Linked DNA regions of Rattus norvegicus. The protein of the gene in region 1 purifies or fractionates together with the protein of each later gene. This does not show direct contact. Links are inferred from orthologs where the notes say so. Each region holds a gene or a part of one and is shown on either strand. Other genes may lie near its edges.

Region 1 (7,965 bases):
GGACTGAGGCTAGCAAAGAGTGCTTTTCTTCAATATTTTGGGGACAGAGAACAGTAGAAGGTGGCTAAGTACCAATAATACCGTCGTGCTTGTTATGTGCCACGGTTAAGTGAAGCTCTTGTTTTCTTGATTCCTATCCAAAAAGCATATGGCTCCATTTGCTGAGAAGGGAAATCAGGAACTTAGAGGAGACTTGTTCTACACTGCGTAGCTGGAGCTGCAGTGTTGGTACATGGATTTCCGACAACCAGTCCAACCCCTCATGCTTGTATGACCCTTCACTATCTTCCAAGTCAAGCATGGGCATTTTAACAAAGTCTACATTTCCCCCATCTTCCTTTCCATACCACCTTTTTCCAGATTTCAGTAAACCTCTAAAAGGTTGAATATGTGCTCACCTAGGCCCTGGATGATGAGGTCAGGAGAATGAAGCAGAGAGGCTCTAAGCCAATCATAGCCACGAGTTTGCCCTCCTCTCTGTCTTCCAGCTTCTAATTTCTATTAATTTTTGCCTCTTAGTTCTGTGGCCCTGGCCCTGGGTGCCCTAACCATGTGGCATGCTGTCCTCATCAGCCGGGGTGAGACTAGCATCGAAAGGCATATCAACAAGAAGGAGAGACGCCGGCTACAGGCCAAGGGCAGAGTGAGTGGGGAAGGGACTTGGGTGAGCAGGTGGGTAACAAACAGGCCACTGTCAGTGCTCACTTAGACAAGTTTCTAGTTTTTCACTTTGTTTTAAAGCTGGGTCCCATTATGTAGCTCTGGCTGGCCTAGAATGCCCAGTGCTGAGGTCAAAGTCATGCATCATCACAACCAGCCAACAGGTGTCTTAAAAGTTAGACTTTGCTTACAGGAGCTCTATCATCTCCAAGATGAGAAGGAGATTAAGTAGAAGAGTAGCAATGTATTTTCCTTGTCTCTAGGTGTTTAGGAATCCTTACAACTACGGCTGCTTGGACAACTGGAAGGTGTTCCTAGGTGTGGACACAGGAAGGTAAAGTAAGAAAGACAGCAGTGCTGTGCAACAGGACTGTGATAGGGACCTGGTCCATACCCAGAATCAGAGATTGTAATCCAGCTGAAGCTAAAGACAGTGCTGTAGAAGGTGGACTGTCCACAAAAGCAGACTGGTTAGTGACACTGAGGAGTTTGCAATTAGGTTTCATCCTCAGGAATAGCCACATGCGACCAGCTTTTTGTTATGCACTTGGAATAACCACTATTTATTTGAACCATTGGGGCCTGAGGCTAAAACTCACTCCCCTCCCCCCATTTTATGTATGTGAGTACAGTGCAGCTGTCTTCAGACACACCAGAAGAGGGCATCAGATCTCATTACAGATGGATGTGAGCCACCATGTGATTGCTGGGAATTGAACTCAGGACCTCTGGAAGAGCACTCTGGAAGAGTGCTCTTAACTGCTGAGCCATCTCTCTACCCCCCAAGGCTAAAACGTTTTAAAGAAAATAGTATGAGTATTTTCTGTATACTTGTTATGCACATCATGTGCATGCCTGGTACCTGGGGTCAGGAGAGGGCATTGGATGGATCCCTTGGGACTGGAGATAGTTATAGACTGCCATGTGGTATAGACTCCTATGTGGGTACTAGGAATCAAAACTCTGCAGGAGCAACAGGTACTCAAGTGCTGAGCTATCTCTCCAGCCCCTGAAACTGTGGTTTAAAAGGTATGGTTCAAACAACTACAGAAGAGCTTGTAGATAGGCACTGTATCTGGAGTTCAAGCCAGCAATGTGTGAGACTGAGGTAACCTACATGTGACAGAGGTCTGACAGCAATATGAGAGACTAGCTCTGTCCAGTCCAAGAAGAAATCATTTTTTTCTTCTTTTTTTCGGAGCTGGGGACTGAACCCAGGGCACGCTCTACCACTGGGCTAAATCCCCAACCCCCGAAATAATTTTTTAAAATGCAGATTACTAGGCTAGGCATGATCATGTACATCTGTAATCCCATCACTTGGAAGGCACAGGCAGATCCAGAGTTTGAGGACCTTGCCTCCCCTCACCCTGTGCCTACCCTTGATGAGTCCGTGAAGTCCCTTCCTCTTTGCCTCATCATCATTGCATTCCCCTCTACTGCACTTGCAGCACAGTACAAGATTGGGGCTGGCCATGGCAGCCCACACCTGGAAATCCAGCATTCAGGAGACCAGGGCATCGTAATTACCAGGATTGGTAATCCAAGGCCAACCTGGGTTACACAGTGATGTTCTGTCTTGAAACAAAAACAAGTGACTTAAATGGAGAAGGCCATACTTAGAGCATCTATGAACTGTTCTTTTTTTTTTTTTTTTTGGAGCTGGGGACCGAACCCAGGGCCTTGCGCTTCCTAGGTAAGCGCTCTACCACTGAGCTAAATCCCCAGCCCCCTATGAACTGTTCTTAAGCTGTCTCCCCACTTCCCAGGCTTTAAATTAAAAAGTGCTTAAGATGCCTTCAGAGCCCCAGAGGGTACAGTTCCCAGACAGAATCAGAGATGAGAACTCTGTCTTTGTTTGATGTATGTTTGCTGCAGGGCAAATGGGAAGGACAACCAAGAACTCAGACCTAAAGAGATTTTTTTTTTTTTTTTTTTTTTTTGGATCATTCCTCACAGGCATTGGCTGACCCGGGTGCTGTTACCTTCTAGTCACCTGCCTCATGGGAATGGGATGAGCTGGGATCCTCCTCCCTGGGTGACTGCTCACTCAGCCTCTGTGATGGCCGTGTAAGCCACAACTTGAACATTGTTCGATGTTTATTGTCTTTCAAGAGCTTCCAAGGGCAGCTTTTCCTGGAATCCATGACCATAAGAACCATTAGGCTGCCTTAGAGTACTACACAGGGACAATCAAGAGCAATCTTCTGCCACCTCAGAGCAAGATGCAGTGTGGAGGAACTCAATGATTGAAGTCCCTTTACTCAGGCAAATAAGTTTTAGCCCCAGACCAGGAGTCAGGTAATGAGCTCTAGGTCACAGCACTGGGGCTAGACACCATTTCTTTGACTTTGGGAAAAGATCCATCAGGTGTGTTCTGGCTTCGCAATGGGATAAAGAACCTAAGCCTATTGCCAAGGTCACTGCCATTTCTCACGTGCTACGGAAGGAGCGAAAATAAAGGCATTTGATTTGTAAAGATAGTAGCTTTTCTGTGCCTTGGTGAAGGTGAAGTTCAGGATGAAGAAGTGGGTCACTGAGTGGGCATTCCGAGGGTGTCTCTTTTTTTTTTTCCCAGAGCTGGGGACCGAACCCAGGGCCTTGCGCTTCCTAGGCAAGCGCTCTACCGCTGAGCTAAATCCCCAACCCCGAGGGTGTCTCTTATGCCCTTATTTTGGGCATATTTTGAAGGGCTGGGAGCTCTCGGTATGTGCCACTACAGCATCTGCAGGATAAAGGGAATACATGGGAATCTGCCCATTACAAAAGTCTTTATTCGCTGGCAGGTGCATTCATGTAACACACATCCCTAGTTCTCAAGGTCACACTCAACTGGATTGGCCCTTCAGCAGCACAGCCACGTAGTGTCCTGATAGGACACAGGAGAGCCCAAGATCTTTTCCTCAAATACAAGTCTCAGTCTCTTCAACAATCCATTAGAAATCATGGCTCTTGGAAAAGAGTTTTGCACAGCCATGCAGGAGAGGCCCAGCATTTGTACTGCATCCATGGGCGGGCAGGCCAGTGGGTGGTCTTGCCTTGTGGGATGGCTCAATATTAGTACTTGCGGGTTAGATTGTCAGGAGGGTTTAGGTGAGGACCAAGGGCTCAGCTCCCAGGGCTCCCCAGTAGGAACCTGTGGACATGAAGAATGTTACAACACTATTCTGAGGTTCTCCTTAGTCCCCCCCATTCCCTTCAGCCAACAGCTTACCATTCTCCCCTTGCTGACACTGCTTCCTTGCGCACAAGTCTCTTCTTGTCATCCAGAGGCTTGGCTAAAGCTCGGATCACCTGAGATTTGAATGGCAGCAACTGTGAAGAAATCAGAGACACCATCTTACTCTGGCTGAGCTGAACAACAAGAAGTGCATCCTACACTGTGCAGCTCAATTCTGATAGAAGTGAAATGTGCCCTATTTTAAAGACTTGCGTATGTGTACGCCTGGTGTCATGAGGCCAGATGTACGCGCACTGGATCCCCTAGAATGGTATTACAAATTACTATATACTGCCATGTGGGTGCTAGGAATCATGTGGGTCTTCTGGAAGAACAGCCAGTGCTCCTAAGCCACCTTTCCAGCCCCAGTTTTCTTATTTGAGGTTTTTATGTAGGATGAGCAATGTTATGAGGTGGTCAGAATTCACTAGATCCATTCTGCACTCGGGGGAAGGGGTGGTGGCATATTTATAATTATCTATGTGCACCATGTATATAGTTCCTATCCTACCATACTCAGTTGGTGGTGGCTAATCTCACTTGAAAGCAAAAAAGTATTCAACCAGGTATGGCAGCGTACACAAGTCAGGCCAGCTTGGAGAACAGTGACCACCCTGTCTCAAACAAGCACTTCTGACTCTAAAGACTTACCACAGAAGTGGGTAGCCGAGTGAGAGCATGCATACACTGCAGAGCAGCAATCCGGACGGCCTGGAACACAAAATGAGGTCAGGGGAGATAAAGGAGAAAGGTACTGAAGGGTGTGCTGGGCTCAACGCACCATTGAATGACTGGAACTGAGGTTCAGGAATTTCGTGACCAGAGTATCAACATGAAGACTCATGATTTGGGGTGCTTCCAGTAGTAAGGGTTGGAGACAGCTCAAAGTGGAAAGCTGGACCACAGAGTCAGGGCAGGACAGTGCCTCCAGCAGCAAGGAAAGGAGCTAAGAAGCAATGGAAAATAGGATGTACATTATGGTCTTGGAACTCCCTCTACCAGCTGTAGCCAAGGGACCCGAAACCACCCTCCTCCCCCTCCCCGACCCCCGTCCCTTGCTGAAGGTTCCCACAGGACTTACTGTGGGCAGCTCTGGTAAAAGCACAGGCTTAGGCAGCCTGTTGAGTACATGAGATAGACCCTTCAGATAGTTTGGCTTCACATCTGGGGATAAAAAGAAAAAAGATGTGTAGGAGAAAAATGGGTTAGACAGACATTCAGTTCTGAGAATTCAATCTCTAACTCACATGAATAGGTTTGTCAATTTATAATAAGGTGTGGTGACTAAAGTCTATTCAGAACTCAGGAGGCTGAGGCAAGGGGAGTCAAAGCCAGTTTGAGCTACAGAGTGAGACCTGCCTGAAGAAAAGGGTTGAGGCTAGGGAAGATAGGTCAGGTGGGAGAGTACTTTCTGTACTATGAGGACCTGAGTTCTAGTCCCATGAAACCATGATTCATGGTAAGCGCTGCAGTGCATCCCAGTGGGGAGACTGGCTAGCTGGTCTTGCCAGAGCAGCAAGCTTGAGGCTCACTGGGAAATCCTGTCTCAGGAAATGAAGTAGAAGGGCCAGCAAGATAGCTCCTTAGGTAAAGGCCCTCGCCTTCATGACCTAAGCTCAATCCCTGGAACCCATTTGGTACAACTTCTTCAACCTCCATCATACATACAAACACACACCACACTGTGGAAAACAATGGAAGAACATGCAATCAGGCCATCAGCAGGCAGTGGGTGAAGGCACCTACTGTTAAGCCTGATTAGTGGTCAATCATTGGAATCTACATGGAGGAGGGGAGATCCTCACAGACACATTGTGGTCCATCTTTGGAAGCTACATGGTGGAAGGCGAGACCTCCATAGACATTGTGGCATGCAATTGGTAAAAAAACGTAATAAGGCTAGAGAGATGGCTCAGTGGTTAAGAGCACTGACTGCTCTTCCAGAGGTCCTGAGTTCAATTTCCAGCCACCACATGGTGGCTCACAACCATCTGTGATGGGATCTGATGCCCTCTTCTGGTGTCTAAAGACAGCTATAGTATACTCATATAAAATAAATCAATCTAAAAAAGTTAATAAAAATAGGTACTAGATCTTGACTTCTGGCTCCCACACAAATGTACGTACACACACGCACAGTTTAATCAGCCTCTTGAGCTCCTAATAACTCAAATGTACTCATCAGGGAAAAGTGGGATGAAAGTACAGCTCTGTAGGTGTAGACCACAATATAGCGTCTGGGTCCTAAATTATTGTAGGGACGTATGGCCAAGAGTAGAGGCCCATGTATTTGGAGATCAGCTTTCAGATACCTTGGGGAGCAGCATGGAAACCCTGGACCAAAGCAGGCACATTGTCTGTGAAGAAGCGCTGGCGGAACATGATCCGAACATCAGCATGGCCGGCCCGAGTCAGCACATCAGTGCAGTCAGACATGAGCAGAGAGAAGCCATCAGCTGCTGCACAGCCTAGTTCTGGGTCGCTGAGGAGGCCCATGAGCTAGTGAAAAAACAAACCAGCCTGTTAAGTGTGATAGAAGGAAAAATCTCAAACACCAAAGAGAATGAAAGCCTTGTAAGAATAAGAACGGGGGCTGAAGAGGTGGATCTGGTTGAGAGCACTTGCTGTTTAGAGAACTTGGGTTGGGTTCCCAGAACCCACATGATGGCTTACAACCATCCATAACTCCAACTCTGGCAATGTCCTCTGCCCTTCTTGGGCAGCAGGGATGCATGTGCCACATTCTGTATACAGTGGCCACACATGCAAAACATACACATTTTACACACACACACACACACACACACACACACACACACACATGTATGTATGTATGTATGTATGTATGTATGTATGTATGTATGTATGTATGTATGACAAGGCTTCTCTATGTCCTGGAACCACTGCTTCAAACTCATTGATCTGTCTCTTTCTGCCAGAGTGCTGGGACGGAAAAGCATAAGCCACCACAGCCAACAAAAATTTTTTTTTCTCTTTTCTTTTTTTTTCGGAGGTGGGGACCAAACCCAGGGCCTTGCGCTTGCTAGGCAAGCGCTCTACCACTGAGCTAAATCCCCAACCCCACAGCCAACAAAATTTAAATCTTTAAAAACAAACAGTAAGAGGTAGGATCCAAGGCATGTTGTTGAGATTCCAGTTATGTGGTAGAGCTTACCCGAGCGGTTAGGCTGGCACTGAGAGGATGGTACCTGAGGACTAGAGCCTTGGTTACCTGTAATAAAAAAAAAGCAATCAGGACCCAGAGGCCCTCCTGCCACATGTGGCTTGAATGAGATGTCTGTCCCCCATTAGTCTCTGGCATTTGAGTACTTAGGAGGTCTGGCCTTGCAGGAGGAAGAATGTCACGGGAGGTAGGTTTTGAGGTTTTAAAAGATTTGAGACATTCCCAGTCTCTCTCTCAGCCTCTTGATTTTGGATCAAGATGTGAGCTCTCAGCTATTCCTGCTGTCTTGCCTGTGCTCTGCCATCATACTCTGACTCTGACACCATTTTAAACCCAGTCAGATGCTACTATAAGCTATCTTAGTCATGGTATTTTAACCCGGCAACAGGAAAGTAACTACTACAGGGGCAAGTAGAAATTTTTTAATTTGGCACAATCATCTGTGTCTGCCAGCATCTATGCTACCTCCTTACCCAGAGCAGCAGTGTGAAAGCCTGATTACGGGAGGATTCAGAGGCCAGACCCGCCTCCACTGTGTCCACAGAGAGCTGGAGGAACTCATCCAACTGCTGCCCTAGAAGGAAGGAGGGCATAATGGTGCACAATGGCAGTGTAGGTTTTTAAGGACAAAGGATGTAAATTGACCAGGTGCAGAGCACCTGAGAAGCTATTGGAAAAGGACAATCAAAATGACAGAATGCCAGCAGGACAGTCTGTACAGCACAGGTGCAGTACTCAACACAAGGATGCGGACACCTGAGAGAGCTGTCTACGCCAATAAAGACTTAGTCTGTGAAGGCTGGAGAGAGGGCTCAGCACTTGGGAGCGCGAGGTGCTCTTGCAGAGACTACAGTTTGGCTCCAGAACCCATATGGCAGTTCACAACCACATGCAACTCCAG
Region 2 (8,600 bases), on another chromosome or scaffold:
TCACTCCTTCAGGTTGGCTAGCTTTTTATTGGTGGTGTGCTCATCCTTTTCCCAGTGTTTTAAACTGTTGTATCAATTCCTTTGTGAGTTTCCATGGCCCTTCTTCTTTTCCTTGGAATAGCCTATTTTCTTGTATTTCTGACTCTTCTTCATGGGGTCACACAGAAGAAGATAGCATCTTATTTGAAAATCTATGGCCCCCACTTTTTAAAAAAGGATAGAGCTGTTTTGTTAGCATAGGCTTTCAATCCCAGTACTAGAGAAACCGAGGCAGAAGCATTGTCATGGGTCAGAGGCCAGCCTAGGCAACATAGTGAAATACTTTTCCAGAAACAAGGTGACATTATGAATGCATGCAGAATTTAGTGGTCATAGGTAGATGAGCATGCTTACTTAGCTTCTACGTGAAAGAATAGTGCACATGTGCTATAGAGACAGTTACCTCAAGTGAATGAATGAAGATCTTTTGTCTCTCAAAGTCATGTTTTTAGGCCAGTTTTGCTACTAACGTGCATTTATTTCCCCTCCATCAGTGTGGGCTGCCATATGTGGAGGTGCTGTGTAAGAACCGGTATGTAGGAAGAACCTTCATTCAGCCAAACATGAGGCTAAGACAACTTGGGGTTGCAAAGAAATTCGGCGTGTTGTCTGACAACTTTAAAGGCAAAAGAATTGTTCTCATAGATGATTCCATTGTGAGAGGCAATACTATCTCACCCATCATAAAACTCCTCAAAGAATCCGGTGCAAAGGAGGTGAGTGTTTTAAAGCATATGCTGTAGTACCAGTAATTAACCATATGGTGTGGGCACAGAGTGCTGTATCCCAGTGAGAGTCCCTGTAACGTCGCATATCAGGTTGCTCTATAGAGCTGGGCAGCGCGAAGGAGAACATGTGCTAACTAACTACTCTTATACTCTACTAAGTTTAACCTTCATAGATTGAAAAGGTGAACCTAGAAGGTCACTCCCAGCACTTGGGAGGCAGTGGCAGAGGCCTGCTATGGCTGCTTATATATAATCCTGTCTCCAAAAAAAAAAAAAAAAAAAAAAAAAAAAACAATTAAAAAACCCAAGTATGTTTCACACTGTAATATTTTTTAATTAATGTTATATATTGTTCCTTTAGACATCCGTCTTAGTTAGGGTTTCTGTTGCTGCGATGAAACACCACAACCGCCAAAAAATGAGTTGGAGATGAAAGGGTTAATCCACATCACTGTTCATCATTGAAGAAAGTCAGGACAGGAACTCAAGCAGGGTGGGAACCTGGAGGCAGGAGCTGATGCAGAGGCCATGGAGGGGTGCTGCTTACTGGCTTGCTTGCTCCTCTTTGTTTGCTTAGCCTGCTTTCTTTCTTTTTTTTGGTTCTTTTTTTCGGAGCTGGAGACTGAACCCAGGGCCTTGCGCTTCCTAGGTAAGCGCTCTACCACTGAGCTAAATCACCAACCCCTCAGCCTGCTTTCTTAATAGAAGAACCCAGGACCACCAGACCAGGGAGGCATGACCCACAACAGGCTGGACCCCCACCCCACCCCCCCCATTGATCACTAATTAAGAAAATACCTTACAAGCCTGCCTCCAACTGGAGCTAAGGAGGTTTTTATTACTTACTTACTTAATTAATTAATTAATTTTGCTTATTCACTTTACATCCTGCTCACTGCCCTCAGTCACCTCTCCCTAACTTTCTTACCCTCCCCTCACACCCCTCCCCCTATTCCTCTGAGCAGGTGGGGGTTCCCCTGGGCATCAACCCACCCTGGCACTTGAAGTCTCCGTGAGGCCAGGTGCTTTCTCTGATGGACGACACATTTTCTTAATTGAGGCTCCATCCTCTCAGATGACTTGAGGTTGACATAAAACGAGGCAGCATATCATGTTGCTATACCTTTAATAAACAAAAAGTAGTATAAAATAACTTTTAAATTCTTCGAAAAGCTCAGAAAGTTCGTGTGACTCAGTTGGAGTCTCAATTGTAACTATTTCAGTCCCTTAAGTTATAGAAGCAAGATGCCATATATACATATATATATATATATATATTTGAATGAGTTTGAAAAGTGGGATGGAAAGCAATAAAGACGGCCTGTATTAGAACATTTCAAGAATTACTAAGGTTTTCCAGGTTTTTTATGACTGATTATGGTTCTGCTAATCTCACTGTTGAACTCTATGAAGGTTAGAGAGTAGAAACAAGAGGATATAATCAATTCAGCATCTGTTGCTATAGTAAAAAAGAATCGCTAATCACATACCGTGCAAGTAGGTTAAGTATATAAAGTGAGATGTTTGCCTGTGATGAAATATGGCATGGACATTTAAATCTGTGTGAAGATTTATAATATATGAAAGATTAAAAATAAAATGTAGCTACTAGTTGTAACCATGTAAATGGACCAAACAGAAAGGGCAAAACCAATAGCAGACAGAAGGAGCCATGTTATGATTAGTAAGATTTTCATTATAACCTAGCAGATTTTACCATTTTTACTAAGTACAGATCAGCAAAGTACCTCTTAGGCATTCAAACAAAACAAAAGCACTAGGCATGTATAAAGTCAGTCAACAGGAATGCATGATTAGTTGGGCTGCGAGTATATGATATGATTTTTTTCCCAAGGTACACATTCGAGTCGCTTCGCCACCAATAAAACATCCGTGCTTCATGGGAATAAACATTCCTACAAAAGAAGAGCTTATAGCCAATAAGCCCGAATTTGAGTATCTTGCAGAGTACCTTGGTAGGTATTAACATTTCTATAAATATTATTAACTGTCTGTTTTAAATTTTGAGTGTACTTTTGTGTAAAACAGCAATTAGTTGGAAGGTAAATTTGAGTGCTGGGGAGCTGGTCCTGGCTCTAGTTCTGGCTCTGCAAGTTTTGGGGGACCAGAGTTGAGTCTGTAAATGATACGTGGGGTAGGTGTGTCTAATTCCAGAGTGGAGACTGTATACCCAGAGTAAGCAGGCTAGCTAGAGTCACAGAATCCGTGACCCTGAGACCACTACCTTGGCCTTCTACAGACTCATGTATACATGCGCACATACACGCTGGGGGGTCAGTCATTCACAGTAGCACCAAAAGTTACCTTCTAGTAATAACACAAAGATTGCAAATCCTATCTTTTAACACTTTTTTTTTTTTTTTTTGGTTCTTTTTTTTTTTTTTTTCGGAGCTGGGGACTGAACCCAGGGCCTTGCGCTTCCTAGGCAAGCGCTCTACCACTGAGCTAAATCCCCAACCCCTGCAAATCCTATCTTATGTGGTAACACGTGCCTTTAAATCTAATACGGGAGACAGAGGCAGCCAGGTCCGAGTTTAAGGCCAGCAAGGTCTATAATGGTAATTAATTCTAGGATAGCCAGGGCTACAGAGTGAAGCCTTGTCTCAACAAAACAAAATAAAAACAAAAACCCCACAATAATTATTATGACATTGAACACAATTACTCTAAAGAGAAAAACAGGTGGGGCACTTTTTATATTAGAGCTATAGGTCAAAGCAAGATCAGAAGACCATGTTTTATCATAGAGTAGAATAACCCCCCCCCCCCACACACACACACACGATTGAATTGAGAGATTTGTAGATTTGTACGCTCTAAACCAGCATTTTTCCACTAAGCTACATTCCCAGTTTCTCTCGCCTTTTAAAAGTTTGAATTGTCCTGGTTGGCTTGGTCCTGACATCATCTTGCCTCAGCTTCTGAAGCAGCGGGGGCTGCAGGCTGTATGTCATCACATCCAACTTCCCTTTTTCAGGAAGGCTAAGAGAGAAGCTTTCGTCCTGACTGTCAGCAATGTCTGTAGGTAGCTGTGTTGTAGTGAGACATGTTTTCCTCTCCTCCCGCAGGAGCAAACAGCGTTGTGTATCTGTCAGTGGAAGGACTAGTTTCGTCTGTGCAACAAGAAATAAAGTTCAAGAAGCAGAAAGTTAAAAAGCGTGATATCACAATTCAAGAAAATGGAAATGGTCTGGAGTATTTTGAGAAGACGGGACACTGTACGGCTTGCCTCACTGGCCAGTACCCTGTGGATCTGGAATGGTAGCTGCCTGGACCGATGTGCTGCTTCCAGACTGAAAGGTCATCAAGAAGTGGTTTACATGTGTTCCTCAGTTGGTACAAAATGGACACCACTTGCTTATGTATTATACCTTAAGTTTTGAGATTTTCTGAGGTCACTGAATTGCTATAATTGAATCATAAAGATTACATGTAATGCGACATGTGGGGATTCTTTTTGTATAAGGACTGACTTTTCACCCAAGAGAAGGCAGGAAGTGGCATTTCCCAGACCCATGCTTGAATGGTTCTAAAGAGGTGAGATAGGGAGGTTGTGTGCCCAGGACAGGAAGCTTTATAAAGTTTCATGAAAAGCTTGAATTCATTGTGCCCCATATGTATCTAGTCTATGCAGTCAAGTCTGCAGTTATGGCCTTGGTCTTTGATTCTTCCACCCCATACACACATGTATGGCTCTGGGGACCAGTGTACAACTCCTAAAAAATGAAAACCTATGTGGAAAGCTGAGGCAGGAGAGTCCTGAGTTCAAGGCCAACCTGGGTTTTCCTGTCTCAAGATAAAGAACCTCTTTCTGTGCCTCGGACTCCACATCTGTTTCCTAAGTCATTCATAAACTTAATGCTTAGCGGGAACTTGTGTGTTTGTCTGGGAGGCTTAGAGCTGCCGTTTTACCCCTGCTTCTTTACCATGCATGGTCAGTAGCTTCAGAAGCTAATGGTAATTAGCTTTCACTAAATTAGTTTTCAGTTTCCTTGTGATGGAGGTTTGCAGACCTTTTCCATCTCTTTGGGATATACCAGAACGACTGAGAAATCTATCTGGAGCCCTGTTTTTCTACACTTGACAGAAAATATTTAGCCTAGCAAATAACTTAGTAAGTACATTGGAAAGAGAAAATTTTAATTTCAAGTAAGCCTTTATCCTTGATTTGATTAAACTTGGCTGTTTGAATGAGTGCTTGATCATTTACAGAACTGTGTACTTGTATACATGTATGCATTTGGTTTAAACAGAGGGAATAGAGACACAGTAGGGCCGATTTTGTTTAAAGGCTGAGGGGACAGCCACTGTTTGGGGAATTAGATTGCCTGTACCCAAGCGTTAGCTCATGATCATGTTTTTTCTAATTTTTTTTGTTAGGTCTAGTGACATTTTTAATTTTTTTATGATGCAGATTTAGTGGATTGAGGTGATTTACTAACTCCTGTTTGTGTGGGATTTTTCACATGGAAAAATAATTGTCTCTATATTGCCAAAATTTGCTACTTTCCAAACCCACTTAGAAATATAATATTTATTAAAAACTGAAATCATTAGTCCACATTTGGTATATAGTGTGGTGTGTCACATATGGCAGGTCAAAATAAACTGTTAGGACTTCGAGGTCATGTGCTGCGTGCGGTGCCTGAGGTTGTCCTGTGGCATAGACACAGGCTGGCCTTTCACAGCCCTGGGGCCATTTTAGTGGGTGCAACCTCCTGTGTTACATGCATTGTGTGTAATGGCGGCGTGGAGGGGTAAGGCCGTTAGGTCAGTTTTTAAATGGCCTTATTTAAATTTGATGTTTTACAAAGAAACTCAGGGAAGGTACTACAACCAAAATCTCTAATTTGACTTTTGTGTTCCACAGTTTTTATTTTGTTTTATTGGAATACTTTTATAAAGGGAAATAATAACCATGGTCGTTTGTACAACTTTCTTAATTATTTCTTCATTGTTACCTTTTATTTTACAAGTTTCTGAATATGGATTAAATTAACATTTTACCAGTTTCAAGCCTTATTTTATCTGCTTTAAATGTATATAACTAGAGTACTATATGCTGAAAAGATGAAAAATGTGTTTGAAGACAGTTAACGTCCTAAACTAATGTAAGCCTACTTTTTGTTTTGTATGTGCCTGTGTGGTTTTTTGTTTTTTTGCAACAAATATATGTAATAAACGTGTTTATATGTGTGCTTTTTAAAAATAGTAGTAATCAGTACATTATGGTGCGCAGCATGAAGACAGTGCCAGGTTCCATACCTGGCATCAGCTGATGAGATCTTATTTCTCTGATTCAGGCATTTTAATAAATAGTCCATCTCTTATGAGCTGGGCAAACACATGCCAAGCAGGAGGGCAGTAAAGTAATTGGAAAATAGAATGTCAAGACGATCTGTGGGAGTCATCTGTCTACCTTCTTTCAACTGAAAGAACCAGAATTGGGACCAATACGGGGCCAGCGGGAAAATTCTCACTACAAACTTCTGAGCACAAGGACCCCTCCCTTCCTGGAAGAAAAAAGCTGGTTTAGTTCCTGGAACAGCAGCAAACCAAACCTGTCACACAAAGCTACCTGACTCCCAACTAAAAGTCCTGAACAGTACACGGAGTGGATCTGAAAGTTGTTTCCATCAAATGCCATTGTGCCCTGCCTAGGTACCTTTGTGCAAATTCTGCCCCAATTGTTTGCAAGGTATATAACCCCCTGTTAAGAGTCTATCCAGGGTTGTCTCCCCTTGGAATGGGACAGCCCCTGCAAACTCTTGCTTTTGTATCGCTCACCCCGCCTCCATGAGTCTCATTTCCCAGAAGAGTTTCAGTTTGGACCTCAGACAACGCCATTAGTTGGGCTCAGCAGCAAGTGCCCTTCTCATCGAGCCTTCTCGTTAAGGCTCCCTAAGCTTGTTGGTCCTAAGAGTTCTTCCAAGACCAGTTGTCCAGGGCCAGGCGGGGCTCCAGTCTGAGAAAAGAGAAAGAGCAAAACAGCCCAAGAATGAAAACGATGTGTCCTTTAGAACAGCCAGTGAGTAGAGAGCAATCACTCCCCAAACTAAAGCCCATAATATAAAAGTGCCTCTGGTGGGAATGGCTTGGGAAGCCTTACTTACCTAGGGTCCTGTTTGTCCTCCAGGGCGTTCCCTGTTGGACTCACTTTATCTGCTGCCTGCTGTTGGCTCTTGCTTGTGATAGGCTTAACCCACTCACTAGAAACTCATAGCTTGACTTTCGTGGATTGTTCTGCATACAGGAAAAACCGTTTTCCAAATTGTTTTTGAAGGAAGCAGTGCTGCTCGCTTCCCAGTGAGAAGTGAGACTGGGGGGGAGAGGGGGCAAGAGGAGGAGAATCAGAAGAGAGGCAGTGAGATGGGCAGTATGTGATCGTGAACGTGCTGAGGACTTCCGGCACTTGGCTGCCATTACTGTACTTACTGTTTAACACCTGGAAGTAGACTTGGAAATAGTATAGCTGTTATAGTTGTATAAAAGTTACATATGGGGGGAAGAGTTACATATGGGAAAGGGACTGGTTTTAAGCTATATAGTACCTGATATTCTTGTTTCTGGGAAGTAGACTGTTCCTGGGTGAAGGGGAACAGTGTTAAGTCAAAATCTACAGTGTGGGTTTTGTACTAGTTTACTCTTAACAAATTCCCCAGTGGTGAGGGGGGTGGTGCACACAATATCTCAAAAGCCCTTCCAATGGAATGTTCCTCCTTCCTGCTTCCTGTTCGTCTCTGTCCGTTCTCCTGACTTCCTCTCACTTATTTTTTTCCCCATGTTGACTCCCTGTCAATGGTTGCTTGTTCCACCTCTTGACCTATGGTTGACTTTATTTAGTCTTGTTTACAGTAAACAGAAAGTTCTTGGATTCAAGGCGTGTGCTAGGGCTGAGCCATATAACCAGAGACAGGTTTTTCCAGTACACAGTCTTGGGGGTCACAGTATAAGATATGCTGCAACATTTGCCATCCTCAATTCTAGCTTGTGATAAACCAGGTACATTATAGCTCAGATGGACATATAATTATATAAACTTCCTGTTTATGAATCACAAAAAACAACAGGCCTTGCTCTGGCTAGGACCATACACTATCATAAAGTCCACAAGAAACTGCTTTCTGTTCCATCCTGAGTCTGTTTACCACTTTCTAGTTTCATAAACCTCACCCAGCATACATGTTTACTTACCAAGAGTCAGTGTAAGAGTGGTGCAGGTCTGTGAGCTCGTTTACTTAAGAGGCTGAGGCACTGATTGGTATCTGGCGTTCAAGGTCTGCCCATGGTGTATCAACTGAAATGGCATTGAACAAGTACTGAACTGAGATGCACCCTAGTCTCTGCAACCCTTACTGACTTTTAGAAAACTTTAAAATAAGAATGGGTGATCATGAATTTATTACATTCTAGATAAGTCTCTTTAACATGAGATAGCCCAAAATGAGTAGGAAGAAAATAATTGGGAAGGAAAGGGAAAAGCACAAATTATTGAAGGTAAGCACCCCAACAGGCAGACAGGTGGGAAAAGAGGCCAAGGATAACCCCCATGTTCATTCAGAACAAAGGCCTGGTGGGCTTTTTCACTCTACTGATGTGCCCAAGATCAGTCCTGGACACGTCTCTGCTTGTGTGAGGCTGTGTATATCATCTCCCTTTTACTTGTTGAAGTCAGCCAATCCAGAATAAGGAGAAGAGGACCCACACTGTACCACTAAAAACATTTAAATGTCCAGGGAGAATGGGTGAGGGGGACTTGGCTTTCAAAATCCCCTCTCCCCTAGTGGAAAGTCTGTCTTTACTGTGAGAGAA

What was found. The genes of interacting proteins can lie anywhere in the genome.
Region 2: the proteins of Mms19 (region 1) and Ppat purify together in Homo sapiens (affinity purification with mass spectrometry; 3 studies listed by BioGRID and IntAct, with this or other methods). This does not show direct contact. The link is inferred for Rattus norvegicus from reciprocal best matches to the Homo sapiens genes MMS19 and PPAT.

Annotation. Positions count from the first base shown.
Region 1 is NC_086019.1:250,703,181-250,711,145, forward strand, and holds the end of Mms19 (MMS19 nucleotide excision repair protein homolog), read right to left. Parts: intron 7,639-7,965; coding exon 7,538-7,638; intron 7,113-7,537; coding exon 7,056-7,112; intron 6,380-7,055; coding exon 6,193-6,379; intron 5,045-6,192; coding exon 4,962-5,044; intron 4,827-4,961; coding exon 4,662-4,826; intron 4,592-4,661; coding exon 4,532-4,591; intron 3,976-4,531; coding exon 3,875-3,975; intron 3,797-3,874; coding exon 3,769-3,796; 3' UTR 3,415-3,768; downstream 1-3,414. Other genes in the region: palmitoyltransferase ZDHHC16, read left to right, coding at 520-643, 924-994, 2,620-2,734. UniProt on the Homo sapiens protein: Key component of the cytosolic iron-sulfur protein assembly (CIA) complex, a multiprotein complex that mediates the incorporation of iron-sulfur cluster into apoproteins specifically involved in DNA metabolism and genomic integrity.
Region 2 is NC_086032.1:31,598,414-31,607,013, forward strand, and holds the end of Ppat (amidophosphoribosyltransferase), read left to right. Parts: intron 1-533; coding exon 534-755; intron 756-2,622; coding exon 2,623-2,743; intron 2,744-3,856; coding exon 3,857-4,053; 3' UTR 4,054-5,975; downstream 5,976-8,600. UniProt on the Homo sapiens protein: Catalyzes the formation of phosphoribosylamine from phosphoribosylpyrophosphate (PRPP) and glutamine.